3 linked regions of the Caenorhabditis elegans genome follow. The protein of the gene in region 1 interacts with the protein of each later gene in a pairwise test. Each region holds a gene or a part of one and is shown in the gene's direction. Other genes may lie near its edges. The genes, in order: arrd-11, mrpl-54 and piki-1.

Evidence for each region.
Region 2: the proteins of arrd-11 (region 1) and mrpl-54 interact in a two-hybrid assay, tested with the Caenorhabditis elegans proteins (one large-scale study listed by BioGRID).
Region 3: the proteins of arrd-11 (region 1) and piki-1 interact in a two-hybrid assay, tested with the Caenorhabditis elegans proteins (one large-scale study listed by BioGRID).

What each region holds. Positions count from the first base shown.
Region 1 is NC_003280.10:13,761,626-13,766,179, forward strand, and holds arrd-11 (Arrestin C-terminal-like domain-containing protein), read left to right. Parts: upstream 1-1,792; 5' UTR 1,793-1,801; coding exon 1,802-1,986; intron 1,987-2,308; coding exon 2,309-2,414; intron 2,415-2,460; coding exon 2,461-2,623; intron 2,624-3,059; coding exon 3,060-3,731; intron 3,732-3,781; coding exon 3,782-3,927; 3' UTR 3,928-4,017; downstream 4,018-4,554.
Region 2 is NC_003279.8:9,158,519-9,161,474, reverse strand, and holds mrpl-54 (Large ribosomal subunit protein mL54), read left to right. Parts: upstream 1-1,952; coding exon 1,953-2,354; downstream 2,355-2,956. Other genes in the region: clsp-1 (Claspin), read left to right, coding at 1-531, 599-815, 1,015-1,389; F25H5.10 (uncharacterized protein), read right to left, coding at 2,489-2,674.
Region 3 is NC_003284.9:15,243,275-15,247,967, reverse strand, and holds the start of piki-1 (Phosphatidylinositol 3-kinase piki-1), read left to right. Parts: upstream 1-1,568; 5' UTR 1,569-1,602; coding exon 1,603-1,646; intron 1,647-1,746; coding exon 1,747-1,896; intron 1,897-2,170; coding exon 2,171-2,376; intron 2,377-2,506; coding exon 2,507-2,674; intron 2,675-2,880; coding exon 2,881-3,095; intron 3,096-3,975; coding exon 3,976-4,084; intron 4,085-4,128; coding exon 4,129-4,357; intron 4,358-4,693. UniProt on the Caenorhabditis elegans protein: Phosphatidylinositol 3-kinase involved in clearance of apoptotic cell corpses by phagosomes.

The sequences.
Region 1 (4,554 bases):
TGACAATATCCGGCAAGCGGCAAATTGCCGGAATTGAAATTTCCGGCGAATCGGCAAATTGCCGGAATTGAAAATTTCTGGAAAATGGGTAAATTGCCGGAATTGAAAATTTCTGGAAAATGGGTAAATTGCCGGAATTGAAAATTTCTGGAAAATCAACAAATTGCCGGAATTGAAAATTTCTGGCATATCGACAATTTGCCGGAATTGAAAATTTCTGGAAAATCAACAAATTGCCGGAATTGAAAATTTCTGGAAAATTAACAAATTGCCGGAATTGAAAATTTCTGAAAAATCAACAAATTGCCGGAATTGAAAATTTTTGGAAAATTAACAAATTGCCGGAATTGAAAATTTCTGGAAAATCAACAAATTGCCGGAATTGAAAATTTCTGGAAAATTAACAAATTGCCGGAATTGAAAATTTCTGGAAAATCAACAAATTGCCGGAATTGACAAATTGCCGGAATTGATAATTTCTGGCAAATCGGAAAACTGCCGGAATTGACAATATCCGGCAAGCGGCAAATTGCCGGAATTGAAATTTCCGGCGAATCGGCAAATTGCCGGAATTGAAAATTTCTGGAAAATGGGTAAATTGCCGGAATTGAAAATTTCTGGAAAATGGGTAAATTGCCGGAATTGAAAATTTCTGGAAAATCAACAAATTGCCGGGATTGAAAATTTCTGGCATATCGACAATTTGCCGGAATTGAAAATTTCTGGAAAATCAACAAATTGCCGGAATTGAAAATTTCTGGAAAATTAACAAATTGCCGGAATTGAAAATTTCTGGAAAATCAACAAATTGCCGGAATTGATAATTTCTGGCAAATCGGAAAACTGCCGGAATTGACAATATCCGGCAAGCGGCAAATTGCCGGAATTGAAATTTCCGGCGAATCGGCAAATTGCCGGAATTGAAAATTTCTGGAAAATGGGTAAATTGCCGGAATTGAAAATTTCTGGAAAATGGGTAAATTGCCGGAATTGACAATATCCGGCAAGCGGCAAATTGCCGGAATTGAAAATTTCTGGCATATCGACAATTTGCCGGAATTGAAAATTTCTGGAAAATCGGCAAATTGCCGGAATTGAAAATTTCTGGAAAATCAACAAATTGCCGGAATTGAAAATTTCTGGCATATCGACAAATTGCCGGAATTGACAAATTGCCGGAATTGATAATTTCTGGCAAATCGGAAAACTGCCGGAATTGACAATATCCGGCAAGCGGCAAATTGCCGGAATTGAAATTTCCAGCAAATCGGCTAATTGCCGGAATTGAAAATTTCTGGAAAATTGATAAATTGCCAGAATTGAAATTTCTGGAAAATTGACAAATTTCCGGAATTGAAAATTCCCGGCAAATCGGCAAATTGCTCGACAAAAAAACCTTGCTGATTTTGACTGAACATTTATATTTTTTCTTTTGTGCGTTATTAGTCATTCGGATATAAACATCATTGCTAACAACAATTTTAAAATTCTCTGAGGAATCGGTCGCTATTTAAACAACCAAAATCTGTTTTTGTTCTTGTTCTCTGTGAGTAAATATTGTTATCAGGTTTGATTATTTAACACACACCTGTAAATGAAAATACCCAGTAAGATGTCAACATCTTAATTGATCACTTGTTCTCTCTTCCAACATTTATTTGTTCTATTTTTCTTATGAAATATGAAACATTAAAATTCGTTTAAATTTCCCAATATTCTCCATTTTCAGTGTTCTCTCCACCGATTTTCTTCCGGTTTTTTGAATTTTTTAACGATTTTTTTCCCAATTTCCAGGGTTATCATGCCAGAAACTGAGCTTCATGTGATATTCGACCAACCTAACGAAGTTTTCTTCCCGGGACAACCGATTTCCGGCCGAGTGGTGCTCTCAACGACGGAGGAAAAATACAAGGCTCGGGCGGTGAATATCAAAATTTTGGGATTGGCTCACACTAGTTGGACGGACTACGACAGTGTTCGCAGAGTGTAAAGAATTTCAATTTTCTGTTCAAAAAATATTATTTTTAAAGAAAATTAAAAAAAAAATTTTTTTCGAATAATTAAATATTTATTAAAACTGTAAAATTGTGCCTAAATTAAGTCAGAAAAAGGGGGGGGACCTAAAATTGTCGATGCAACAATCAATATTTTTTAAAGAATGATCTGTAAGGAGTTATAATGTTCCGTAAAAATATTAATTTGATGAAAATTTGAAAAAAAAGTAAAATTAAAAAAAAAAAAAAAAACATTCATAATAAATAATTCAAATAACAAATAATAAAATTTTTTGATAAGCATACATTTTCAGTGACAATGACGGCAATGTGAGGTACGATTCAGAATCGGTTCATTACTCATCGAATGTGCACTACCTGGATCAGGCTCTGCTTCTGTGGGCTTGCAAAGATGGATCGGTAGGAATCTGAAAACATTTAAATTTGAAATTGTATAAATTTTCAGAATGAATTGTCTGCTGGAGATTACGTGTGGCCATTCTCATATACTCTTCCTCTCAACGTTCCGCCAAGCTTTGAGGGAAAATATGGATATTTGAGATACTCGGTGACAGCTGAAGTGGATCGGCCATGGAGATTGGATAAGGCGAAGAGACGGTGCATCACTGGTGAGGCGAGGCGTGGGCGGTCTTCTAATTTTTAGTATTACCGTATTTCCTTTATTAGTAAGACGCCTCGATTAGTTTTGCCCCCTTCGTTCTACAAGTTCAAGTGTCAGGCTGTCCCATTTCAGTTTGATCTACCCCGCATTTTTTGAAGATCAAAAAATAATGGGAGAGCCTGACCCCTCGTGCAAATTAGGAAAACTCGTACACATTTGGTATAACAAGTCGAAATTGGTAAGAAATGAATATGTACAACTCGGACTATTTTGCCTATTACATAGTTATAAAATTATTCGTTCAATTTGGCTCAATGTGTGTTATTCAAATTGATGGTATTGTGCCATAACTTATGGAGAACTTGTTCAAAAACTAGTATCTAAATAGGTCGCCGAAAGTATGCATGCCGTACTAAAAGAGGAAATATTCTATATCCTTTCAGTTTCCCCACTGATCGATCTCAATGCCATTCCCCTCGCACTCACTCCAATCGACGACGAAGAAAGTGAGAACCTGGGCTGCTGCTTCTTCAGAAAAGGTTACCTCGAACTGCGAGTAAACATCCCAAAAACTGGATTCGTACCCGGCGAGACTGTTCCAATGAACATCCATATTCTAAATCACTCCTCCGTGCCCGTCACCGAGGTCAAGGCGAAAATCATTCAGCAGTGCAAATTCATCGCTTATCGAAACGGGACTATTTTCCGATTTGATGGAGGTTCGGATACGCTAATGTCAGGATCTTCGCAGCAAACAAAGTACGACACTAAGCCCGTTATCACGCAGACACAGCCGATGACAGTGACTCCAGGGAATGAGCACAAGTTTGTGCTGGAATTCCGTCTGCCATCTGTAACTCCAACCATCTGTCGGTTCTCCCCGGTGATTACTGTAGAATACGTGGTACAAGTCCGCGTGGAGACCACTTCAACATGCGGGAGTGCTGCTAAGTGTGAAATGCCGATCCTTATAGGAACTGTACCTATTCGAAATTATCTTCCACCACCAATTCCAAACAACTACCCAATTGGCCTGCCACCACCGTATGCTAATCTTACTGATGTGAATGTGCCCTGTCCGAGCGGAGGTAGTGGTACGGCAGTGATTCCAAGTGGTGAGTTATTCAGAATTCCAGAATTATTTTCTAAGATTGAAAGTTTTCAGCTCCACCACCATCCTACCAGGAATCCATGTATGGAGTGGGAGGAACCGAGCTCAGAGCCGAGGAGAACGAAAAACCATTTGCTCCAAAATACCCAGTATTCAATAATTTGCCAATATATAACCCAACGGCGCCACCGTCAGAGTAGCAATTCTTAATCCAACTATGTTTGTTTTGTTATTGGTTAGGGTGCTATGCATAAACTTTCTTGACAGGTTGTTTTTTACTTCAGAAGATTCAAAAAGTCGTAAAATTTGATATGCCAAAATAAAAAATTTGCATTTAATATACACATCAGGCGTGAGCGGGAATTGCTGTTCGGCCAATTTTTTTGTCGACAAATTCAGCAAATCAGTAAATTGCCGGTTTCGCGATTTGCCGGAAATTCTGATCTTCGCCGAATTGCCGATTTGCCGGAAATTTTTAATTCCGACAATTTGCCGATTTACCGGAAATTTTAATTCAGGCATTTTGCCGATTTGCCGGAAATTTTTAATTCCGGAAATTTGCCAATTTGCCGGAAATTTAAAGCTCTGCCAATTTGCCGATTTGCCGGAAATTTCAATTCCGACAATTTGCTGATTGCCGGAAATTTTCATTTTCGGCAATATATATATAAATATATATATTCCACAACTTGCCAGTCTATAACCCAACTGCGCCAGTGCCGGAGTAACCATTTTTTGAGCACATGTTCTGTACAACCTATGGATGATAATTTACTATAATTTACTATAATTTAAATATTTTAAAACTAATAAATTAATTTTTTCCG
Region 2 (2,956 bases), on another chromosome or scaffold:
AGACGTTTTTGGATCGGGAACTTTGGAAGATTCCGAAACTATCAAAGAAATTTGCGAAAAATCTGGTGAATTCACTGAAAAGATAGAAACAGTTTTAGAAGAAAAAACCGAGCTGAAAAGAGTTGTTCTGAGTGATGGTGAAGATAGTGATGAAGAAGCTGAAGAAGCTGAAGAAGAAGGTGATGATGAAGAAGAACCAGAGGAAGATGACATCGAGAGTGAGAATGATGAAGCTGAAACCGAAGGAGTAGAAGCTCCGGATCCAAATTTCGACGATGAAGACGATGAATTAGCTATCTTGAAACGTTTGCAACACCAAGAATACAAACAAAAAATCAAAAAGAGAACACTTTTTGATGATGAAGCTTCACTTTCCGGTGATGATGTTGGAAGTGATCTAGAAGATGAAGAAGGCATGGAAAACGTTTATGAAGCAGAAGAAGGAGATGCAGATGATGTTCCCGATAATGATACTATTCGGAGGCAGAATCATAAGTTGTTGCTGAAACAGGAAAACGATAAGGAACAAAGGTAATATATTTTCTCTATTTTTTTTACTTTGGCATGTAGAATCAAAAATTAATTTATAATTTTCCAGAGAGCTTGCAAAACTTCAAGACCGTCTACTTGCCGACGGAGATCTCGGTGGAGTTGAGACGAATCGTCAATTCCGTTTCAAGTTACGAGAAGAAGTTCAAATTCAAATGGGAGATGATGTAGATGGAAATGATGGTGATGGAGAAGATGATGAACCAGAAGAAGATGAACAAAAAAAGAAGGAACGAGCCGAAATGATCAAGTTCAAATATGAACATGTGAGTTGATAATAATTTCCCACAAAAAATGTTTTGAGCACAAAACATTGTTCGAAAAAAGGTAATTAAAAATTATTACTCCTTTTGATTTTGTTATATTCTAAATGAAATCCAAAAATATTAAAATTCTTTCAAATGTTATGCATAGTTTTTAAAAAAGTTATATGTTTCTTGAAGTTATTTTACATAATATTTTCAGGCGGAAGAATTGATGTTGCTCGATGAGCCGAAACAAGGCGATGATATGTTTGCTCGCGCCGGAAAGTTATTCAAGAAAACTGAAAAAACTGTAATCGAATTCTCCGAAGAAACAATGTTCAAACCGAGACTCAGCAAGCCATCTCTACTGTCAAAAACCACTCTTGCTGTCACATTTCAAGAAGTTCTGAATGGACCTGGAGGTGCAGCAAAACAGATGTATGTGCAAAGCTTTGAGAAGCCAACTCCTCTCTCAACTGGACATATAAGTTCACCGTCGTCTCGATTGAGCACAGGAAAACGATTGCTGAAATCGCCAGAATCGTCAGCATCTGCAAAACGTGTCAGATCTAGTAAACTTAGCTCTTTGGAATAATTTTTCTATTGCTTTTTTTTTGTGAATTACAGTTATTACCCCTCAAAACCTCTGACATATCTGTATTTTGTTCTCACTTATCTGTGGATTTTATTTCTCTATTTTATGACTGGTTGTGTTATTTTTAAACAAAAAGATCTTGTATTTTATAAGATTTTAAAATTGTTTTTAAAAGAAGTTTGAATACTTTTTCGTATCTAATGTGCATGTATTATGTCGATCAAGTGTGCCGGAGAAAAATTTCAATATATTTCTCGATGGAGCTAGCAAATTTTTATAATAACTTCAAAAAATTCTAGAATGTCACATTCTAAAATTGCAGTTTTTCTATTTATAGTAAAAACAATTATTCGAAAAGCAAATAAAGTAAATCTTTTAAAAAATTAATTAAAGTAAAATGGAGGCAGTTCATGGTTGAGCTTTTTTCCGCTTTTTTAAAGAAAAGTTCGACCCGAAAAATGAAATTATCACATTTAAAGATATTTTGCTTGTACATAGTTGAACGCAATATTATCTTGCTTTGAGTATGTGCGATTTCAAGAGTTCTAGTTTCAAAATTTCAGATGCTCCGTTCGACTCTTTCAACAGTCAGTCGAACTACATCACTGATACCTCGACGCTTATATGCTCCACCAAAAGCTGCAGCAGCTGCTGCAGGTGTAAAAGTCGACAAATCTTTCGTCGAAGAAGATGCTGTCAAATTGGCAACCCACGTATGCATCAATGCATACACACAAGGAGATGAGCCGGGACCGAAAATTCTTCCAGACTCGGAGTATCCTGAATGGCTGTTCAAATTGGATCTTCGAGCACCAAGAGATTTAGAAGATTTGGATGCCGAAAAGGATGGATGGTTGTACTGGAGAGCTCTAAGAAAAAGACAAGTCGAGCAAAATCAACGAATTCAGAAGTTGAAGACTAAGTTCCTACACTTGCAGAATAGTCCCAGTATGAAGAAGAATTAAGTTCCGGAGTATTTTCAATTGTTGACTTTATTTGTTTTTAAATTTTTAGCATCAATCTATTATCTAGTTTATAGAAATGAATTTATTTTTACTTTTACTTAAAAAATCGAACTTATATATGTAATGCCAAAATTTCACTTTCTTTTCTTCGCCAATTTTTTCTTCTGCTCCTCTTCATGGTTCTTCTGCGCACGATCCGCGAGCACACTGTCAAAAAACTTTTTTCGATCGGAAATTTCGGCCTCTCCCCAATTAGTAAAGTTTCCGTCTTCGAATTGTGTTGCATATGGATCGTTATGGTTGCTGGTTGAAGGCTGCATCTGAAAATTATGAAACTAGTGAAATTGAGAAAGTCCAAGAAAAGAAAAAGTTGCACATTTAGAAAAAACTTTTTTCTGCAAATATCCGTGTTTTCTCAACAAAAAATCTCAGAAGGAAATTTCGATTGACTTTTTTGTTACAGAATTCTTACAGTAACTTAAAGGTGCACACACAAAATGTTTTTAGAACGCGTGACGAGACCCTTGCTCTAAAATCTGTCACCCATGAAAGTCGTTGAAATTTGGAAATAAAACAAGTGATTATGTTTTTAAAAACAAAAC
Region 3 (4,693 bases), on another chromosome or scaffold:
TTGGCAAGAAAGTACATAGATACAATTAGGGAAACATATTTTTACAATATCTGATAAATATTTGACAAATTATGAAAAAAAATTTGGATTTTTTTGAATAAAAAATCCAAAGGGTCCGCCCTTATGAAAAATTTCTAAAATTTTTTCGAAAATTTTTTTTTGAAAACTTTTCTTAATTTGTTCATATGTCATAGAAAAATGTAAATTTGATTGTTTTTTTTAGTTTCGATGTTCAGAGCACGATTTCAGACGAAAACCTGGGGTTCAGTAGAACCCCTAAGTTCAAAAAACGCATTTCCTTTGGATGTGTATATCTTTGTTGAAAAATTTTTTCTGACAAAGTGATTAACTACAAAGTTGTTCATCTTAATCTAAAGTACAACTTTGTAGTTGATGGTGTTTTTTCAAAAAATTTGATGGCCGAGATATGAACAGAAAAAGACGAAGAAAATACAGGCATGAAAGTGCCGCAATTAACACAACTTTATCTCGACCATCAAATTTTTTGAAGAAATATCATAAACTACAAAGTTGTACTTCAGATTAAAATAAAAAAAACGCAAAACCCGCAGACTTGCTCCAACAGCTCCAGTTCTCCAGCTCCAGTCCAACAGCTCCTGTAAACGGGCGATTTGTGGCAGATGGCCTCTTAGTGGCTCCAAATCGGAAGTTTTTAAATTGGGCGAAGAAGTACAATCATCAGCATCGAATGTTGCCTAAAGTAAAAACATACTCTGAAAATTGTCTCAAAGTTAAACAATGCAATTTTATTGACTTTTGAAATAGTTCTGAATCAAAATGCAAGAACTGATAAGAAAGTGTGCTAATCTTTAAGAAAAAGTCGTTGTCTTGTTTTTTCGTTTCTTAAGGGCATGCGCTGGTGATTGGAAATGCGCAATTAATAGTAGTAGTGACGGCTGGTAGGTGTACACTGCATATTCTTTTTCCCTGACAACCGGACTGATTCACAAAATTTAGTTGTCTTGAAAAAATTGCGAAAGTATTGACATGAAGTTTTTGGATACAAATATTCCCCAAAACAATCCAAAAACCAAGTGTTTACTTTCCCCTTCGGTATGTGTTTTTTCCCGAACCGTTTTGCCGGGAAGAAAAAAAACAAGAATGTTTGTGTGTGGATTTACGTTACGGTGTTTGCACACTGTTTGTCTGCGCAGACACACTATCGCCTCCTCCTCCTGCACCGTTTTTTTTGTGTTGCCCCGTTCGTCCTCGTCTTCTTTTTTGGTTAAACAGGTCACTTGTCTTTGTCTTTCTTCCTCTCTTTCTCTTGTTCTCCCTCTGCGTCCATATGGTGTTTTTTGTTCTCTAGTTAACCAATTGGATTGATTAATGCAAAGCTCAATATGCGTTTTTTTTGCTGAATAAGCTTATTTCGAAATTATTTTAAAATTTGAAAATATTAGGCTTGTTATTTGTGTAGTAGCTGTTTCAACCATCATATTTTTATTAACATTAATAGTGAACATGTGAATAATTTATTTATTATTTTTTTTAGCATTTTCAAATTCTAGTTATTCATAGATTTTTATTTTATCCAGTTAGAATAATTTTCAGCTCGCAAACTGGGCGTGAAGGAGGATTATGAGCGACGATGAAGAGCTCCAACTAGCCATCGAAATTTCAAAGTGAGTTGTGTAAAAAGACACCTGATGCCCATGGCCCGGGAGACCCTGAGCACTTTTTTCTCCTTTCTTCTTCTTTCTTCATGACGTCTCACAATTTCAGAAAAACGTTCAAAGACGAGCAGAAGCTGAGGTCGAACGACTTGGACTTGATCCGATTTGAGAGTCCTGATGAGCCAGCGCGCCAGCGGAAAATCAACCAGATAAAGCAGTTGTACGAGGCGAATAGTCCGGGACCTTCGTCCTATTCGGGGTGAGTCATTTGGTATTTCAATTTGAAAATAGAAAAATTATTGTGTCAATTGTGACTCATAAACCAAAAAAAATTGAATTCTAAATCTTGGAAAATATGTTTTATAAATCTATTTTTTGATGAAGAACAAGCACAACCGATTCTATACGGTACTGTTGAAATTAATTTTTAACAAATTACAGCTTGTCAAAAATCAAAAGCGATTAAATTGACACGGAATAAAAAGAGCTGACGATTTCCTAGCCGGCTCAAAATTAAATAGTTATCATTGCAGCTCACTTGCCACAAGCCCCATTGATTTCCGTCCAGTCTACAACGAGCCTCGTGCTGGACCGATTCCACACTCGCAATCATATCCGAGAAACTATTTCCAAGACTGGTCTGCAATAGCTTCCACGTCCCAGCCGCCGGCGTTTCCACCTCCACCGAGGCCTCCAAAACCAGAGCAGTATAAGTTTCCACCGGCTCCATCAGTTCCATGTAAGTTTTAATTTTTATATTAGAAGAGTATACATATAATTAGTACGTCCTAAAAGTATAATATCATATCAATAAATACATTTTCCAAAAGAACAAAAAAAATCCTGTTTAATTTTACAAGGCTATTTAGTGCTCCATGATCGCTACTTTGTCCCACCACCACCACCAGTGCCGCCAAGACATTCGAGAGTCCAACAGTCACCTCCAGTGCCGATACATCCCACACCTCCAGTCTCTTCCACACCGCTCAGACATTCAGCTCCATCGTTCGCGTCGGACAGTCAGCAGTTTCTGTCCCGTGAGTTTATTCAAACAATTTATTGTCTTTTTTTTGGTTGGTTTGAAAAATTGAAGGAGACACTTGACGAAAAAGGGTCAGATTGTTTTTCTTGTTTTCTTTTTTGGAATTATGCAAAAATGTAGAGAAATTCCTGCGGTGTCATGCACATTCTTGAAAATGAAAAACATATATATTTGCTAAATACATGTATTTCTGAATTTCAGCCATTAAGCCATTCGAAATAAGTTTCAACTCGACAGTCGACACATCGTCTAATCAAACTGGCAGTCATGATCATAGCATTCAGTATCAGCCGTTAACTCATCTCTACGTGCCATACGTAATGCATTCCCTCAACTCATCGTACGGAGCTCTTCTCAATGGTGACTTGATTGATTTGAGCGCTTTTGAGGATAGCTCAAATGCTTCACAAGACGAGGTAGGAAAATTAGGTTTAAAGCTAAAAATATTAGACTTTTGCAAAGAAGATAATTTTATTAGTATTCTAGTGTATGCTATCTACTGGGTGGTCCATATTTTTTGATTATAGACCACCCAGTATCAGACAGATACTTCATGCTTCTCAACTAATTTTGTATGTAAACGCCCAAACTTTTTTGTCAAAGTAAATTTGCCAAAAACACTCTATTAAAAACACTTTATTGTATTAGTTTATATTAGTATTTTACATAGCACATGCTATCTACTGGGTGGTCCATATTTTTTTAAATTATTGTTGTGTCGTGACAAACGAAGCTGCAGTCCAAAGTCATTGCCACCATTCCACCAAAAACTCAGATGGTGCTGGATAGGAACGTGAACCTTTACTAGTTATCGACGTGAGGAAAGGGTCACTGTGAACTCTTCTTGTATTTTGGATTATTCCACACTTCTCCGGTTTAACTAATAAACCTTCTTATTATTCTCTATCGTCGTCACGACACAACAATTATAGACCACCCAGTATCAGGCAGATAGTTTTTAACTAAATTCAGGTATGCTTCTCAACTAAATTCGTATATTAACGCCCCAAATTTTTTTGTCAAAATAAATTTGCCAAAAAACACTTTATCCACCGATTATCTTTTCTTTCTTTTCATACGGTCAGAAAAGTGACCCTATCTCGAGAGGGGGACGTTTATCATCAAACGAGAAACAAATTGAAATTGATTGGTTTTGTCCACTTTTTTCCTTCCCCCTTCACATTAGGTCCTCCTCGGCTGAACTAATTCGAATTGTTCTTCGCATTAGGATCGCATAGTTCAAGTACTGCAATTCAAGTATTCAATAAACGTTTGAAAACGTTGATTTTTTTTCAGATCCGAAAAGAATTCGACCCACTGTTCATATCCACTTATTCCACCGACACACCCTCTCCAGACAACTCTATGCCAGCTGTGAATGCGTACTTTTCAAAGCCTATTGATGGTTGGCAGAAATATGAAAGTTTGCCAATAGGTGCATAATTTCAGAACCAGAATGTGTCGGTGGCGCCAAGCTGATACAAGAGAACATTGAATTCCCGTCATCCTCGTTTTGCCTCATTGACTGTCCAAACGGAATTGAGGAACAAGTGAAGAAGTTATGCAAGAGGAACTTGATTAGAAAGGATATGACTCCAGATTTCTTTATTGCACCCACCGTCGACTATATGGTCACTACAGCAAGTACAGTGAAAGTTGTAGTCTACAAAGATCACAGGTAACTTGATGTTTTGGAAAATGTACTAGGTACTAGACAAATGCACTGGAAGGTACCGTGTTTTCACAATAAGTAGGTAGGACTTACTTTTAGGCAAGTTTCCGACTTAATACTATTTGAGACTTCAGTATACGATGGGTTATTTAGAGTTTGAAATTTTTTGGTTTTAATTATGAATGCGTTTATTTTGAGCTGAAAGTTTAGCAAATCGTGGATGACTATGAGAAAAATTTAGCGACGAAACAGTGAAATTTAAAATCCAATATTCAACTATTTGAAGAGACTATGACAACAGGAAAAAGTTTGAGACTGAGTTACAGACTGGAGGACTACTAG